Notamacropus eugenii: one gene and its partner. The protein of the gene in region 1 purifies or fractionates together with the protein of each later gene. This does not show direct contact. Links are inferred from orthologs where the notes say so. Each region holds a gene or a part of one and is shown on either strand. Other genes may lie near its edges.

Evidence for each region.
Region 2: the proteins of VAPA (region 1) and FAM83G purify together in Homo sapiens (co-immunoprecipitation; 3 studies listed by BioGRID and IntAct, counting the BioPlex papers as one, with this or other methods). This does not show direct contact. The link is inferred for Notamacropus eugenii from reciprocal best matches to the Homo sapiens genes VAPA and FAM83G.

Annotation. Positions count from the first base shown.
Region 1 is NC_092875.1:233,200,691-233,211,756, forward strand, and holds the start of VAPA (vesicle-associated membrane protein-associated protein A), read right to left. Parts: upstream 4,759-11,066; 5' UTR 4,447-4,758; coding exon 4,368-4,446; intron 1-4,367. UniProt on the Homo sapiens protein: Endoplasmic reticulum (ER)-anchored protein that mediates the formation of contact sites between the ER and endosomes via interaction with FFAT motif-containing proteins such as STARD3 or WDR44.
Region 2 is NC_092874.1:320,030,533-320,037,391, reverse strand, and holds the start of FAM83G (protein FAM83G), read right to left. Parts: upstream 3,001-6,859; 5' UTR 2,835-3,000; intron 2,529-2,834; 5' UTR 2,281-2,528; coding exon 1,750-2,280; intron 1,734-1,749; exon of another isoform or gene 1-1,733. UniProt on the Homo sapiens protein: Substrate for type I BMP receptor kinase involved in regulation of some target genes of the BMP signaling pathway. Also regulates the expression of several non-BMP target genes, suggesting a role in other signaling pathways.

The sequences.
Region 1 (11,066 bases):
AACAGTTAAATGACTTGCCCAGGACCATACAGTTATTAAGTCTCTGAATCTGGACTCAAACTCAGATCTTAATTTTAATTGCAGGACACTATCCACTATACCATCGAGCTGCCTCTTGACTTGAATCCCAAATTCTGATAAACTCATACCAAGTTCTCCCACGTTTGCTTCCCAGAGTTACACTGTTTTATTAAAAAAAAAAAAAAACCTGCCTTTGCATGTTCAACTGCCATAGGATCTTAGGTCTTTAGAAATGCAAGGAACTTTTAAAAAATAATTTAATCCAATCCCTTCAATTTTACCACAGGTTAGGAAAACAGGTAGAAAATGATTCACAGGATCACATGTGAGTTGGATAGGATACCAGAACTCACCTAGTTCAATGTACAGATGAGGAACTGGGATTCAGAGAGGTTAAGAAACCTATATAGTCCCCTATATAGGGGATTAGTCTCCAACTTCTGGTCAATGTAACACCCAAGAGGGTCTGTAGTAGTCTCAATGAATTACTTCAAAGGCTCAAAGAGAGCTGAATCTAGCAGGGGATTGAGTACATTCTGGGCACAATATTGGGGGGGAAACCAGATAAAAAACCTAATGGAAATGCATCCCTCTTTTCCCCAAATGGTTCAAGCTTCAGCTACAGCATCATTTAAAAAGCGTATTCAAAAATACAGAAAAGATAAATTGAAGAATTGCACTTATTTTATCGATTTGTTCTACCCATTTCTTTTAATATTCTAATATACTGGTCAGTATATTAAGTTAGTTATGTGTATAAGTATTTGCCCATTTGAAGACAACTCTCCTATAAGTGAATACCCAAACAGGCCATCCCCCTATTGAGGTCAAATGTTACAATTTCTTTAAAAGTTCGTCAAAACTCTGACTAGTCCTCAAATTCACATCATTAATTCAAAGATCTAATGTTTGAATGGCCACATTTTCATAAAGGACAATAGTATAACAGATCTAGAGTTGGAAGCAAAGAAGAGAATGTTGAGGTCTAAAAAGGTTAAGTGATTTGCCCAAAATCACACAAGGAATAAGGTGCAAAGCAACAATTTGAATTCAGGACTAAAGATTCCCAGTGCTTTCTACTACATCAGAATTTCAATGTAGGTAGTAGTACTGCCCTCAAGGATGCAGATCTCAACCCATTCATAATTGCTATCCTTTATGCATAGAGACACATAAATTTACCACAAGGAGTCCACTCAATATGCTTTTCTTTCTCTTGATGTTGTACAGATACCAACTGAGCAGTCAGGCTGTCAATTTTTCTCTTGCTTTCACCATATAACTGGCGCTTCATCATCTGACAGCACACTTTACTCCTAGAATTCATTTATAATGTGCCCACTATTGTGCCTCTTGAATGTCCTTTGGACAAGCACTAAATTTATTCCATAATGTGCAGTTATATAGCATCATCACAATAGCTAATATTTATTACCATGACTGCTGGTGTCTGGCACCATGCTAAGTACATGCCTTACAGTTATTAATTCACTGATCCCCACAGCAACCCAAAGAGTTAAGTGCTATTGTTATTTGTTTTACAGATGAGGAAACTGAGGGAAACAGGTTAAGTAACTTGCCCAGGGTCACATGGTTCTGAAGTGTCTGAGTCAGGATTTGACCTTATGTCTTCACAACTCCAGGCTTGTACTATAACCCACTGAACCACTTACCTGCTTTACACTTCAGTGAAAAAGATTTGCCTTTGTTAAAGAGAAGCTTCAGACTATCAAAAGAACTAAATATATGACATCTCAAAGGTAATCTAGCCTATTCTCCTCAGTTAGGTCCATTTACAGCATCAGTCCAAAATATATTTATCTGTGGACCAGGTCTACGGATTGTATAGCAAAATCTAGACAATAGGCTTTCTCTATTTTTCTTGGTGTCCAGTTAAACCAAACTGAACGCATCCATCTTTAATGATTAATTCTTTTATTGGAGTGAAGGGTACAATGTTTTCCTAAGTTTGAAAAATAACTTCTAAATGCTCAAAACATTTATGATTACATTGGAAGCACAGGTCCAGTTTTGAATGCATAAAAGATAAGCAAGGGCCTTTCACCTCAGGTGAGAGGGTCCCCTTTCTTCATCCCAACAGCAACATTTTCTCATAAGAAACCCTCCAACTTGGCCAATAAGGCAGCTTCTCACCTAATACTAATTTCCAAGACTGATGGCAGCACAAGAGACTTTATCTTGTATAGACAATATTATTTCAGGAACACAGGCTACCAAAGCAACAGGATAAAGTAAAAAAACATACATACAAAAGTATTCACCACTATAGATTACATCAAAATATTTTAACAGCAGGTGGCTATTGATGTAATTTCAGGCTTTCAGGAAAGGTCTTTTTTTTTAATTAAAACCATATGAATGAATACAATATACATAACCTGGTTCTTTCCAGAGGTGTCCCATAACTCCTCAAAACAATAAATCTTCTCATACTTGCCTTGAAACAAAACTCTTACTCAATTGCTTACATAACTTTTCTATAGAATCACAGAAAATAATCCAGTGTAAAAAGCCAAGCACTAGTTGTGTAATAGTATCCTAACACCAAAGCTTCATAAAACGAATTTCCTGGATGTATAAAGCAACTTTGCTATATTAACTTTCCTGTGATGAGTTGCTGGCAGGAATGCAAGTATTTTCCTGTTGGCCTGACACTTCCCAGAACATAACAGATTCATCACGTTTCATTTTACCCTTTGAAATACTTTAATTTTTTTTTAAACTAAACGGAATTTTTAAAATTGAATTTTTAAAAAGACATAGGACTTAACTATTTAACAAGGTTAAGTCATGCCTTAGATGTAACACCTAAAATATACTTCCTTGATCTTAATGCACAGTGCCTGTGACACCAATAACACTTAATAACTTTTTTCATTCATTCATTAAGTCCCCTAAACAATGTTTGATATCCCAAAGAGCACCTAGATTCCTACAATAATAGCAAACAGAAAATAGTACCGGAGACATCACCTCCAAGATAATTCTGCCCACTCTCACCAACTTAGGTCCATTTACAGTTTCAGGTATTTTTACAACTTTAGGCTCATTTATATCTATCATCTCTACGTCCCTGTCCCAAGCATTATCGCCTTTGACCCTCATTCGGACTGTGAGTGATTTCCTGTATTAACTTGGAAGTGATTTGTTCAAGGCCATAATGCGGTAAAAGGAGACACTAATGTTAAGATGTATGTCTCCTAAGGTCACCAGAAAAAAGACGTGGAAGAACCCTAGCCACTAGTACCACTTTAGCATTGAAGACAGCAGGTGGAAGGAAGACTACCTAGTCCAATGACACTCATCCTTCTTCCTCACTTTACACACGAAAGTAAGTGACTTGTCCAAGCCCACAGCGGAGTTAGAGGGAAGAGGACGACCAAAACTAGGGCAAGGCGCCTATAACCACCAGGTCCTTCAGATGCCAAGTCCTTTAAGAGCGTGATGTCTCCCCTCTTAAGGTATGGAAGAACCAAAGGTTCTGGTACGAAATTACTTTACAACAAAGCCTCTGAACTAAGGAGTTTTCCTAAGTTTCCTTTCTGACTTTCTATGGGAACCGCAAACCCTGGAACACAAATGGGCAGGCAAAACCGCACCAGCGAGGGACACATGCGCCCCCTCCCCTGGCGCACTACTTACAGGAGGTCAGCAAGCCCCCCGCTCCTCAGCCTCCCCCAGCCCGCATCCGGGCGGCAGAGCGGACCTCAGGACGGGGCGCCGGGAAGGAGCCGAGGGGCCCGGCAAGCCGCCCCGGCCCGAGCCCGCGGGAGCAGCACGCGCTACCCCCGGGCCTGGCAGGAGCCCCCGGGCGCACACGCTCCGAGGTCGCCTCCCTCGCCCGCCCCAAGAAAGCCCAACGAGCCCCCGGCGCAAGGAGGGAAGGTCAGGAACAGAAGCGACCGCCGCGAACCCAAGACCCACAAGCTGCCTCCCGGCGGGATCCCAAGATGGCGGCCAAGGCGCCTGGTCCCGGCACCCCGAGCTCGCTCGCCTTCCCTTCCCTTCCCTGGGCCTCGGCCTCCTCCGCCCCCCCCCCCAGCCCCCGGCACAAGCTGGGCGTGCGCGCGCGTGAAACTGAGTGAGTGGGAACGGGCGGGGGAGGGGAGCGGAGAGGAAAGGCTGACGCCGAGAAAGAAGAGAAGAAGCTGGGAGACGCGGACAGAAACACGGCGAACAAGGCGAGGGGGGCGGACGACGCTCCTTCCTCCTCGTCAAACCTTCCACCCCCACCGAAAAAAAAGGAAGAGGGAAAGCACCCCAAGAGCGGAGCCGACGGCCTAGACCTCCCCGCTCCCCTCGCCGAGGCCCACCTCGCTACCTACCTTTAAATTTGAGGTCTGTGGGCGGGTCGAGGAGCAGAATCTGCTCGTGCTTTGCCATGGCCCCGGCAGCGGCCGCCATCGGAGAGACAGCGCAGGGGGAGCGGGGGCGCGCCCGAGGCGGCGGTTTGCCCGGTGGGGGGGAGGGGGGTGTCCGGGGGAGGGAGAGTGGGAGGAGCCCGAGGTGGAGGAGAGTGGGGGAAGCGCCGGGGCTGTGAGAAGGGCACAGTCACCAGCCTGGGCTCACCGCTCGCTCGCTTCCTGCTCCAGCCAGCGGATCGGGCAGTCTGACGACCAGTCGCTTCCCCCCCCTCCACTAACAACTGACTCAACCCCACACCAGCCACCGCGGCCACGCGCACTGCGATCCTCGCTGCCCCACGTGACGCTCCTCTGCGTGCAGCGTGCGCGCCACCGCGGCGGCCTGGGCCTCCTCTTCGCCCGTCCCGCCCTTGGAACCTTAATGTGACATGGGCCTTCACGCGCCTGCGCGCTCCCGCGTGTTCTATAAATTTCTTGCAGCCCGAAAGCTTTGCTGGGACTCTTGTCAGTGGAACTGGAAATGTCGCGGCGTGGGGCGGGGGGAAGGGAGGGAAAAGGGGGCGGAGTTTCCGCGGGACTGAAGATGCCTGTGCTCAGAAGCAATCCCTTCCCTCCCCTATCCGCGGGATCTGGGAGTCCGCACGGAGGTGACACCTTCTAGGGTTGGAGCTGAGGAACGGATGCGAGGGAAACGACTTGGGGCAGACGCCTTCAGAAACTACGACTCCCAGCATACAACGTTCCAGGCGGGCGGAGTGTAGAGACCTAGCCATTGGGGGTGGAGCATGCTGGGAGTCGGAGTCTTCCTTGGGGCGCCCGATGCGCAGTGCACCTTGGAACTTGTAATAGCGGCAGGACCGGCAAGCCGACAGGCCGGCGGCGGGCGGGAAGAGGAGCAAAGTCGGTTGGACAGATGTTGGGCGGGGCGCATCGGCCCCACGCGAGGCTTTGGAAGCCTTCGCGAAAACCCTCTGGCTGATTCTGGAGTGCCAGGCACCCACCTCTTCCAGAGAAGGAACTATATATAATTAGATTTGGGGGTGGATGCTTCTTTTGGCGGTTTTGTTGTTTTGGGGGGGGTGGGGGAGGGGAGATGGAAAGGCCTTACTTCTAATCCAACACTTTGTATTCCGAGAAGGGCCGCAGTACTTGGTGTGTTGAAATATGCCTTATTGTCAGTGACGCAAAAACCAGATAAATAATACTAGCATTGAAAACACGAACGTGGCATGAAGCCAGGAGCAAATATAAATGAGGGTTTGATTAGGGGAGGTTCCCGGAGCACCAGCCTTTCTCCTCAACGAAATAGGACGAACTTTCCCATGTGCTATTCACGCGGTGGGGTCTCTGAATGTGATGGCAACAGACCGCAAAACTTTTTTTAATTGATGATTTAACAACAAAGATAAGACAAGGACCCTCAAATTTAGCACTGGGAGAGTGTGGTGGACTGTCCTAGGGTAATGCAGTGTTGTGGGGGTTAGCAGCTGTCCTCCAAGTAGTGGCTCGGTTTGTATAGAAACCAAATACCTGGCAGAACTGGCACCGTAATAATGCCTAGCCCCACCAGCAGAGGACTTGGAATCAATGCCTAAATTTAACAAAGGTAGATAGCTAAAGGGGGCCGCTACACCGGCCAGCTAGCGTGCAGGATATGGAGTCAGAAAGACCAGATCCCTCCTCGCAAACCACTTCTGTTTGCTTTAATCCACTGGAGAAGGAAATGGCAAACCACTTGATTGTCTTTGCCAAGAAAACCCTGTGGACGGCATTGGCAAGCTGTGGTGACCGGACAACAACAAAGCTAGCTACAGCTGCTAATGTCGCAGTTCACAGAAGGTAGAACTTTCCGTCCAAGATTCTCCTGTTCGTCTTGTATATGTAAATGCTTGTCTGCATGCTGTCTCTTTTCCCACCCCCTCAGATTATAAACTCTTTGAGAGTAGGGTCTGTCTTTTCCTTCCTTTGTGTCCTCTGAGTTTAGCACAGTGCCTGGCACTAGTAGGTACTTAATGCTAATTGAGTGCTTAGCACCCTCATAGAAGAGGTGTCACCTTCAAACTAAAGAAACAAACCCCAATCACATAAGGCCATTGGCCAAAATGAATGTGTCTTTTATTTATGTTTAACTTGTCAGTAACATTTTGCATTTGGAATCATTTGGGAGATATGAGAAACTCTGGCACAGGGCTGCCCATCGTGGCATGTAGGAATCAAAGAAGGTACTGTGTGCTCCATGAGCAAAGCAGAATTGCAGTCACTCAAAGTGAGATACACAAAATTTAGAGATATCTCCATTACAAATGTTCATATGGACTATTTGTGCCCTACCTGTGGTAAAGTCTTCCAAGCTTGCATTGGTCTGATCAGCCAGTCAGACACATTATACACTGACCCTGACATAGTGATGTCATTCTGGTCCACTTCCATTGTACAGTAATCAACATATGTCATCAGGGCTTGCCTGGCAGGTAGAAAAAGTCCTTGCTTACATGATTAGATTTGGGACCTCCACTTCCAAAGTGCCTTTTATTGGTCTGATGCTGATTCCTGGACATCCAACATAAGAATTTCATTCCTTGTGCTGTCACTGGGAAGATATCCAGAATTCCTGGGAAACATGCAGTCCCTGTTAAAGCTTAGTGTAAATTAGTTTTTCAGGAACTTTCCAAGAGATGGCATGCTGAAAACTGTTTTTGACAAGGAAGTAAGGTAAAGGAAAAAATATCTAGAGGATACATACACACTAACATAACTTTTAATGAGGCCAAGTCTGGATGAGTGCCATGGAGAAACCCAGGTGGAGCATGAGGAAGAAAATGGTATTAAAAGAAAAAGAAAATACTTTGGGTTAGGGTAGACTTTTGAGGTCAGCTATTTTTAAGGTGGGCAGCTAGGTGGTGAAATGGATAAAGCATCAGTTCTGGATTCAGGAAGATCTGAGTTCAAATCTACTGTCAAATTGAACTAGCTGTTCAACCCTGGGCAAGTCATTTAACTCCTATTTGCCTCCGATCTTGGTTTGTAAAATTGGGACACATTGAAGAAGGAAATGGCAAAGCACTCCAGTATTCTTTGCCAAGATATTAAGCAACAGCATTTTTAATGTACTATTAAGTCCTATAATATTTATATCAGTATAAAATTTATACAAATATATAATATATAAATAATATTATACATAAATATACAAAAATATAAATAATTGTTTCCAAAAGCCTAAGAGCATTTTCTCTATTTTGGAAGTATGATAGATTATTCAATCTCTTGCCAGAGTGACACCTTACAAAGTTTCAAATTAAGAATTTTTCTACAATAAATATAACTAAAAGAGTTTAGGAAATATTTCCTTGGCCATATTGGGACTAAATAAATAAAATAAATGTTACCATTGTTTGCTTTGAAATACTCCAATGGTAAACAAAGTTTTACATAAATTAACCTTGTAACTATTTAAATACTTCTTAAAAGTAGCTGAAATTAGTCTGAATAGTTTGTCAACATATTCATTTGCATAGGTGTCAGGTCTTACTGAAGAACCTGATATTCCACAGAAAGTATTAAGATTTAACAAAAATTACACTCCTACTAAATAGAAAATTGTTGATAGGAAACAGCCTTCTGTATTCATGCTTGTTCTTTAGCTTGTTGAAATTAGAGAGGCATTTATGAGGGCAAAATAAAATTACCAAAACTAGAATTTGGTCAAATTGCTGTGTACTAAAGCTTAGTGGAGTTTTTCCTTGACTTAGGTTGTGTCTATAGGATGCCACCATTTACAAAAAAACAAAACTTAGAGGAGAGTGAACTTTTTTTTCCATGTAGATCTAGGTGATCCTGTCAATAATCTTGTAGCAATGATTACAAAACATTGTGAAAGACAAGATGTTATTGTTCCCTTCCTTCCCTAGATACTTTAGGAAATTGCTCCCAGGTAATTTGAAGAGACCCCACCCCCACCCCCTGACGGGGGTCGGTCCTAGGCGCCTGGGCGGATAGGGGCCTCCCCGGGAGTGGCAGCCCACCAATCCGAGGGGGACACGGCTTCCATAGAGGAGTTGTGAGCCCACGGGATTGGTCGGGTGGGCTGGATCCAATCGGGTGGTAGGCCTCGCCCTCGGGGCGGGTTAGGATGGCAGCCCGGAAGAACCTCCCTATATAAGACAACGCCCTGAACTGCTCGTGGGACTCCTCCATGCAATAAAGCTATGAACCTCCTGCGCATTTCCTGATTATTGCCTGCCGCCGTGTCCCCCGGGGTAGGTCCGGAGACGTCCGAAGCGGTGCCCACCGAAGGGAGATTCTCACTCGAAGGTCCCGGGGACAGACCCGGGACAACCCCCCACCCCCCACCACCACCCCTGACTACCCAAGGAAAATTGTCCCAGGACCAAAAGACCCTTTAGAAAGGAAATTGGAAGAAAGTTGCTTACTGCTAGGTATTTCTATTTTTCTATAGACTTTACAAAAGCATTCATTATTGCTTTCCATAAACTGCTAAAAAACTTTATTCATGTTTTGAGTTTTGTGAATCCATGAGCTAAAAGGAGAGTTTTTAACTATACCCATGGGCTTGGGGAGGGGCACTGTGTTAGATACTGAAGTTTTCCAAAATCATCTCTTTGGTAACAATAAGCAGAAGTGAGAAATCCCCCAAAGTGTGCCACTCAAAAGTTACATACATATGGTTATTAACTGACCTGTAGGCATGATTAGCTGCAGTTGTGAGGCAGTATGTGACTATAGTTTGAGTCAAAGAGCAAGTGACCATTGCCGATTTCTCCCACCCCCTTTGTCTTACGTAACCAAAATCCCCAAACCTATTAGGATGTGACTCTTCTCTTTGGTGGAAATCACTGGCCCTGTACCCGCAGATTTGAAGTGGGAAAGTAGAGACCTCATCAATCTCTTAAGTTTTCTCAGATTTTTCAGTCTCTTCAGGCTTTGAATAATTCTGCCTTCTAGGTTAGAGAGAGAAGATTCAAGATGCCAGCCCCACTTAAGGTTGCTGGGGAAAAAACAGACTGTAGGAGCTGTCAGTCTTCCTTATGTGCCTTTCCCCAATTTGCTACACTGAAGACTTCAAGGAACTCCCCTTTGGATGAAATCTAGGACTCTTTCTTAGTTGAACTGAGTTATCTCAATCCTAATGGGAGAATTCCTTCACTGTATTATCTGGTATATATTCTCCTATCTATTCTTTCTCTGATTTCTGTTTTTCTATTCACTTGGATAAATGAGGGTTTTGTTGGGGTTTTTTTTTTGTTTTTTTCTGTTTTGGTTTTTGTTATCTCCTATATGTATTCACTGTAGAATTGATATTTGGTGAGGAGTTAATCTTTAAATATAAAGAAAGCTTGGGGTCCTGCTTCCCACATTGATGAAACAATGATCAGAAGTTAGATTGAACCTGAAAACCATATCCCCTAGAAAAATAATTATTTGAGGAATCCCCTTCTCTGAGGAAAAGTAGCCAAGCTTTGGCTCCAAACTCCTACTTCTCCTCCTGGCAGGAAATAGTCTCCCTTGGAGAAGAGTGGGGGGAGAGGAAGACAGAGATGTCTATTTTGCCTCCCTTTAAACCACATAACCCTCCCAATTTACATGTAGGGTGATAGCCTTTTACACTGAAGACACCAAGCCCTAGATAGCTGGCACTACTATTCCCCCCTCACTCTTCTTCTATGTTCCTTACCAACAGGACTATGGCTAAGAGAAGGCTAAAAAGTTTCTTTCTTATCCAGTAATAGCACACCAACCTTTTAGGTTATTTTTAAAAAGGGCATATAATAAAGCACAAGAAAACTTACAAAGGAGAGGGAGAGTGTGTGCAATAACAGATGAAAAAGAAAACATTTTTTTAATTGTGTAAAGGAGATGTTTAGGAATTTTCCTGAACAATAAGGGGTTACCTAAACAACAGGACAATAAAGTGTGAATGAAGAACCAATAACACTACAATGTGTTGGCCTTTGGATGAGAATGACTAGTTTTCACCCCTGTGGCCTTTATAAGGAGCAAGCAGACCAGCTCTGGAAGAGCTGGAAGAATGGTCAAGAAGAAAGCTAATTATAAAAGTGGATTCTCCATTACTTTTTCCCTAATTATAAATTTTAACATGCTTGTGACATAACAATATTAACATATTCTCCATCACCCTCACCTTTTCATTCTCCGGTCCACCAGACACTGATTAGGTGGGACCATTCCGTCACACTAGGAGGTCTGCAATGACAGTGGTTGTCAGTCAATAATACTACTACATTGATGTAGCCTTTATAGAAACTGGAGTCCTTAACCCAGCTCCCATTTTAGGAGACAAGTTGGGTCCCTAAACAAGACTATATCTCCTCCTCAGTGTTCACAAAGTGAAGTAAGCAGAAGTAAGACAGCAACTTAGACAATAACAACAATGTTACAAAGAAAACCAACTTTGAAAGACCTAGGAAATCTTATCAATACAATAACCAATCACAATTCCAAAGTACTCATGATAAAACATGTTATACACTTCCAGATAGAAAGCTGATGCATTGAGTACAGATTACAGCATATTTTCATGTCTTTTTCTATTTTTCTTTCTTTTTTATTTTTTGGACATGGCTAATGAGAAAAAATTTTATGACTATATAAAAGAAGAGAACTAGATGAGTTCAGGAA
Region 2 (6,859 bases), on another chromosome or scaffold:
AGGATGACCCCAATCTCTAAAAAGCACCAGAAGGCAGAGAGAAAGAGTATTGGATTTGCAATCAGGAAATCTGGGTTCAAATCTCCATTTTTCCACTTAGTACTTGAGTAACCTTCTGGGAACCTCAGTTTGCTCATCTGTGAAAATAAAGGGAGTGGACTGAGTGATCCTGAAGGGCTCTGGGAGCTCTCCTTCCTATTATTCAAAGTGTAAATGTGACCAAAATAGCAGCTCATTTACAGCCAAACAAGGCTGAAGCAAGACCTCTTTTAAGTGGAAAGTCCTATTTAATAGCTTGTTTGTGTGTGCACATGCACACACGCACACACATGCATGCATACATACATACATACGTACATACACACAGAGAATTAAAGTGCAGGCAGGGTTTGAAAGCTACTCAATATGCTCTGTAAGGCTAAAAAAAAAAAACAAATCTCAGATCTCAGTTGAAGGAGTTTGTGTTTTGAACTGGAGAGTATAACTAAAATGAAGGGAAGCTGAGTCTGTATCATGTTCCACCTCCTTACTTGCAGAGGTGGAGCCAAATTATCTTTCAGGTTCCTTTCAACTCTCAGCTTCTACAAAGATTCAGCCTAAATATCCTTTGCTGAAGTCTCTGACTCTTCCTACTCAGCAACTTGCTACCTTTGTCCAGTCCTCAACTCAGTAATGAAATGTTGGCCTGCCCATGCCAAGTCAGCATCAAATCCCCTGGCTCCAGAAGCAGACTATAAATTTACTCTGTATCCTAAAATTTACCCAAGCAGAAACAGAGGACCAGAGAAGTCAAGTGACTTCCTCAGATCACCCAGCACTACCAAGGCAAAGTGTGGACTTAAACCTAGACCCAATCCCTTAGCCCAATACACTGTTTTTCTCAGACTACAGTGTTCATCTTAGTCACAGTTGGGATGAGTTTGTCTATTTTCCAGCTGCCCTCTAGAGTCTAAATCACATGTTTATGGACACCCTAGGAGAATTTCTGGTCCCAAATCCTAGATTCAGACCTTACTGTGATCTGAGTCATGCCCACACCCACCCTGGTTTCATCAAATACTCATCTGCGTAGGCAGGAGCTTTCTTACTATTCACTATGTCATAGAGGAACACACAGACACACACTGTGCCATTGCCTAAAGGTAAAATCTGTTCAGCTACCGAATTTTCTCAGGAAGGCTTTTTAGAAAGGAAGAGAAAGCTGATATGAATTAACAAAGATATTTGAAAAGGCATCCCTGGCATCTTAATGCAAAAGGGGAGTAGGTAGGAGGTGAAAGTAGTCAGTTCAAAGATAAGAGATTCTCTCTCATTCTTGTCTAACAAGCATTCCCTCAGTTTTGAAGATCATTGTCTCTTCTCCCCCTCAGTGCCCTGAAACTGAAGCCTGCTGTCTCCTGACCTCTAAGGAAACATTTCTGTCAATGACATATAGTGAACTGTGCAAGAAAATCCAGGAATCCTATCTTTCCTGAAAGGCAGTTAGGTGGCAAAATCCAGGGACAGGAATTAGGAAGCCCAGTTCGAATTTGGCCTCAAATATCTGTGTGACCCTGGACAAATCACTTTACTGCTGTCTGCCTCACTTTCCTCACCTGTAAAATGGGGTACTAATAGCATCTAGCTCCCAGGGTTTTTTTGAGGATCACATGAGATATCTGTAAAGCTCTTTGCAAGTCTTAAAGCTCCATATACATGTTAGCCCTTATTCCCCTTCCCTCACCCTCAGGATTCCCCATCCCTTTTCACCTTCTGTGCCTGGTTGATCATCTTCCGGACCACCTCCTTGATGTGAGCTTGTCCATCGATGGGAGGTTGCATGTACACACTGGCACGGGTCACCCCACGGTAGGCAATGGTATCGGGCCAACCAAGGTCCAGCTGCGGGATAGAGCGGTCTGACTTCTGTGGCCAGTATTCCAAGGAAGGGACCAGGTCAGCATCAGCATCAGCATCAGCATCAGCATCACCACCTCCCTCTCCATTCTCTTCCTTATCATCGGGCCCAGAGCCCTCACAGAGGCCTCTGTGTTCCCGGGGGTCCTCAGACCCTGGGTCATAGACCTCAATTGTCTCCAGGATCTTCTTGAGCTCCAACTCGGACAAGAAGTCCCGGATATTCTCCTTCTTGAGAACTTCGTAGAAGGCCTCGGGGCCCCTGGCCACCAGGGCCTCCAGGGCCAACCTCTGCCCCTCACTATAGAAGAATTCAGGTTTCGATTCGCTAGAACGCCAGTTCACATGGCTGTCGTCCAGGCACTGCACCTGGGAGTACGCCATGGCTGTGCCAGGGGTACATACACTGGTCAAGTCAGGCCTGAAGGAGGAAAGGGTGGCGGGAGCTGGAGCAGAGTTAAACTAGGGGTTAGGAGGGGGCTTCCCGGAGGCCAAAGGTGTTCTTCTCTCCCCCCCCTTCCTTCTTGCTCCTCGGATCCGGAGCTCAGATGCCTGACCCCCCAGCGATGGCCCAGTAGGACGGGTAGTGGTTGGCACGCACAGGCTTCACCTGCATTCTGCCCATAGGGAACCTGTTTGGGGAAAGAGACGGAGAGTATGAATAAGGGCTTGCAGAAAGGGCAGTCCGGGCTGGACGGGCTGGAAGTCTGAGGGGGCTTCTAGGTGGGGGGCCGGACCTGGTGTTCCCCTTCCTCCGGCCTGGTCTCTCGTCCCTTCCCCCAACCCCCAGAAAACCCCCCACGGTGCTCCCAGGGGCCAGCACAGCCAGCCCGGATCTCCAAGCACGGCCAAGCGCCGGCCGGTCCGCGGCAGAGGGGGCAGATGGAGCCTTTGGGTGGGCAGCTAGGAGGCCGGGCAGGTGGGGGTTTCCTTCTTACCCCGGCTCTCCCCGGCAGCCTGGGTCCAAGAGGCCGCGCCGGCGAAGGGCACGCAGCGCTGGCCGTCCAGGGAAAGCGGAGCGAATGACAGGCGGGAGGCGACGGGTCGGAAGCCGCCAGGAGCCGCTTGAGTCACGGCCCCGCCCGGCCCCACCTGCGGGGGGGAGGGGCGGTCACGTGCACCGTGGCCCCGCCCTCTGGGCTCTCAGGTGCCTCTGGAGCCTGCCCCAGTCGGACCCAGGAAGCTGAGTCACCCGCGGTGTCTCCCGCCGCGTCTGCGATCCGAGGGGCGGAGGGGAGAAGCCGAGCCCCCCATTCCCGAACGCCGCGGGGATTAGTCCCCTAACACCTCCCCACTCCCGGCCCTGCTCCTCCCTCCCGGCACCCATCCTTAACCCCCTCCTCTGTCTCCTCCCCCAGCCCCCCCCCCCCATACCTTGGAGAGGGAGCCTGATGCGGCTGCTGGGAGTCTGGCGGGTCCCAGCTCCTCCTGCAAGGCCTCCCAGCCCAGGACCAGCCAGCCCACTTCGCTTCACCTCTGCCCCACGCTGAACAGGCTTGCTTACAGACCCCAGGACCTCCTGGGGATTCATTTATCTTAGACGTTGAGAGGAGTTTGCAGATGAACCACTCCGGGCCTCAGTTTCCTCGTTTGAAAATTCCAAAGCCCGGCATTTTATAGCTAAGGAGACCGAGACCCAGAGAGAGAGGAGGTGACAGCCAAAGTTACACAGCTTGGCAGTAGCAAACAGAACCAAGATTAGACCTCAGTCCTCCCAAGTCTCCCTCCAGGACTCCCCACTACTCCACAGCTGCATTGGCTTGTGTTATTTTCCCCGGACTGTAAACTTCTTGAGGGCCTCCAGTCTTGGCATTCCCACAGGACCTAGCATAGGATCAGAGGCAGGGCCTCCATAGAGGTTGATTGTACGGTTTTCATTAATTCCCAGTGATGGGGGTGTTAGCCACCTCCCCAGGTGTGCAGCCAAGAAAAAAGACACCTTCCTCTTAGAAGATCAGGTTCTTTCTCTGCTGCTTGCCATCTGGATGACTCTAGGCAAATCGTTTCACCTCTCTGGCCCTGTTTTTTTATCTGTAAAGTGAAGAGGGGTGGTCTAAATAATCTCTACAATCCCTTCCAGCTGTAGGTCTGTGGTGCTATTTCTCTTTGGCAGTTAAAAGTGGTGTCGTTGAAAGAGCAATGGCTTTCAAGTTGGGAAACCTGGTTCTGAGCTTGGCTCACTGTGTTTTGAGAAGACCACTTTCATCCACCTCAGTTTCTTTATTTGTAGAATGGAGATTGGATTATTGGAGTGAATGATGCTTAAGAACCCTTCCAGCTCTGAAGTTTTATGATTTAACAACTCTAGATGCTGCTACTGGATCAGTTGGGGCAGCTAGGTAGTGAAATGGAAACAAGTGGTGGACCTGAGTTCAAATCCAGTTTCAGGCACTTCTTAGCTGTGTGACCCTGGGTGAATCACTTAACCCTGTTCTGTAAAATGAGTTGGAGTAGGGAATGGCAAACTACTTCAGTATCTTTTCCTAGAAAACCCCAAAAGAATCAGACATGACTGAAAAGAAGACTAAACAGTAGGATCAGTTCCCCAATCCTGAGATGCTTCAGATTCCCCTCACCGTTGCTATTCTAACATACTTTACACAAGGGAAGCTAGATCCCCTGGTGGAGGCCTCTGAAGGCCATCACTTTAAGGGGAACAGATCCTCAGGGTGGGTCCCCTAAGGACAGGCTTACCTCAGCTCCAGAGCAAGCTCAGCTACCTGGACAGAGGCCTTGGCGTCTCTGGAGCTTGGGGGCTCTGGATTATGGGGTGGTGCAGCTGCCACATCTGATGGCTAGAGCCTCCTTTAAACAGCTGCCTGGGCAGGGAGGGGTTTAATTGACCAGAGTCTTAGAAAAGCCCATTAAAAAATGGACTTGCTTTCTGGGCTGTCCCTCCTCAGCCTAATGACAAAGCTAGTTTGGAAGGAGACATTGAACTACATGTGATGAGCTTCAAGAGGGCAGGGACTCATGTTACCTCCTCCTAGCTTCTCCTGACATGGAGCCAGACCCAGAGACTTATGAAGTGAATTGCTGATGGGTTTAGAAGTTTGGTGAATAAGCAGTATGTTGTAGTGAAAAAAAGTACTGGACTAGGAGTCTAGGAGCCCTGGATGTTCACTCCAGTTTTGCCACTATCTGATGTGTGAACTTGGTTAAAAAGTGTTGCCTCTCTGGGACTCAGTTTCTGAACCTGTAAAGAGGAGGGAGCCAGGAGGGCAATTTGATGTTGTCTTAGGTCAGACTTCAGTGATTTAACACTGTGATTCTAGTTATTTGCTTAGTAATCTTAGGGATAGGTGGATGGGTAAGGGAGAATAGGGTTGATAATACTCCCTAGAGTTGAACGATTGACTAACCAATGACTTTGCTGTTTTCTTTCCTAACCCTGAAAAGTGAAAAACCCTGGGATTATGCCTGATCACCCATTTAGGGAGTGTGACGCTAAATAGAAGGCAGAATGAGTTTGGGCAGTAGCAGATATCACTTGAAGGAAATGGAATCTTTTCTCTTTATACATATGTGCTTCCCACTACCACCTTCCCAGGAATCTGCACCAACATGGAAGAAGGAGCAGAAAGTGAGGAATATAATGAAAAAGGGAGCAGGAAAGGAAAAGTAGGGCTTATCCCCTGTTCCTTGGTTTCCTATAAGTCCCAGCTAGAACCCCACCTTCTATAGAAAGCCTTTCCGGATCCCTGTTAATTCTAGTTCCTTCCCTCTATTGATTACATCTAATTTATCCTGTACTTTTCTTGTCTGCAAATATTTGTTTGCTTGGTATCTCTCCTGTTTGTGAGCTCCTTGAGATCAGGGACTGTCTTTCGCCTTTCTTTGTATCCCCAGTGCTAAGCACAATGCCTAGCATATAGCAGATGGTTAATAAATCGTTATAGACTGACTGATGTACTGCCTGAAATGAGCAGTGCTCTGGACAGAGATTCTGGGACTCAAAAGACTTGGGATCTTCTCCCTACAATGCCAATAAATGACTATCAATCTTAAACAGTCTCTTCTTCTCTCTAAGCAAATACCTAATCTGTAAGCATAGAGATTTGAATTTGATCTCAAAGGTCCTTTTTCAGTTCTAAATGTTGTAATCCTGTCTAGCTCTAAAATGTTATGAGTCTTTTGTATTCAGTCTTCCCTTCTGGAAGCATCAAAAGGGAATATTAGAAATTAAAATTTGGTATTGGAATCAAAAAGCCTGGTTTCAAATCCTAGCTCTGTGTTCGTAGATGAGTTATTTCACCTTGCTGTGCCTCAGTTTCCTTATCTGTATAATTCGAGAGTTAGACTAGAATTCAGGGGTGGGGAACCTTTGGCCTTGAGGCAACAGGTGGTCTTCTAGGTTCTCAGGTGTGGCCTTTTGATTGAGTCCAAGTTTTGCAGAACAAATCCCATTAATAAAAGACTTTGTTCTGTAAAGTTTGGATTCATTCAAAGGGCCACACTTGAGGACCTAGAAGGCCATATGTGGCATTGAGGCCGCAGGTTCCACATCCAAGGACTAGATGATCTCAAAAGTTCCTTCCAACTCCAAATATGTGATTCAGATTGGTTTTGGGCAACTAGGTGGGACAGTGGATAGAGTACTGAACCTGGAACCAGGTAGACCTGAGTTCAAATATGGCCTTACTAGCTGTGTTTGACCCTGGGCAAGTCATTAACACTGTCTTCCTCAGTTTCCTCATCTGCAAAATGAGTTGGAGAAGGAAATAGCAAACCATTCCAATATCTCTGCCAAGAAAATCCCAAAAGGGGGTCACAAAGAGTCAGTCACAAAATGACTGAAACAACTAAACAACAAAATTAGGTTTGAAGATGGCAGCTGGTGGGGTAAGGTGTGGGGGTGCTGTTTCTAATATCAGCACACAAGACCATGTGCCTTTGCCATATGTAGTAGCTATATTTTAGGGTCATTCTCTAGCTATGTTACTAGAGTTTCCATGTTTGAGTA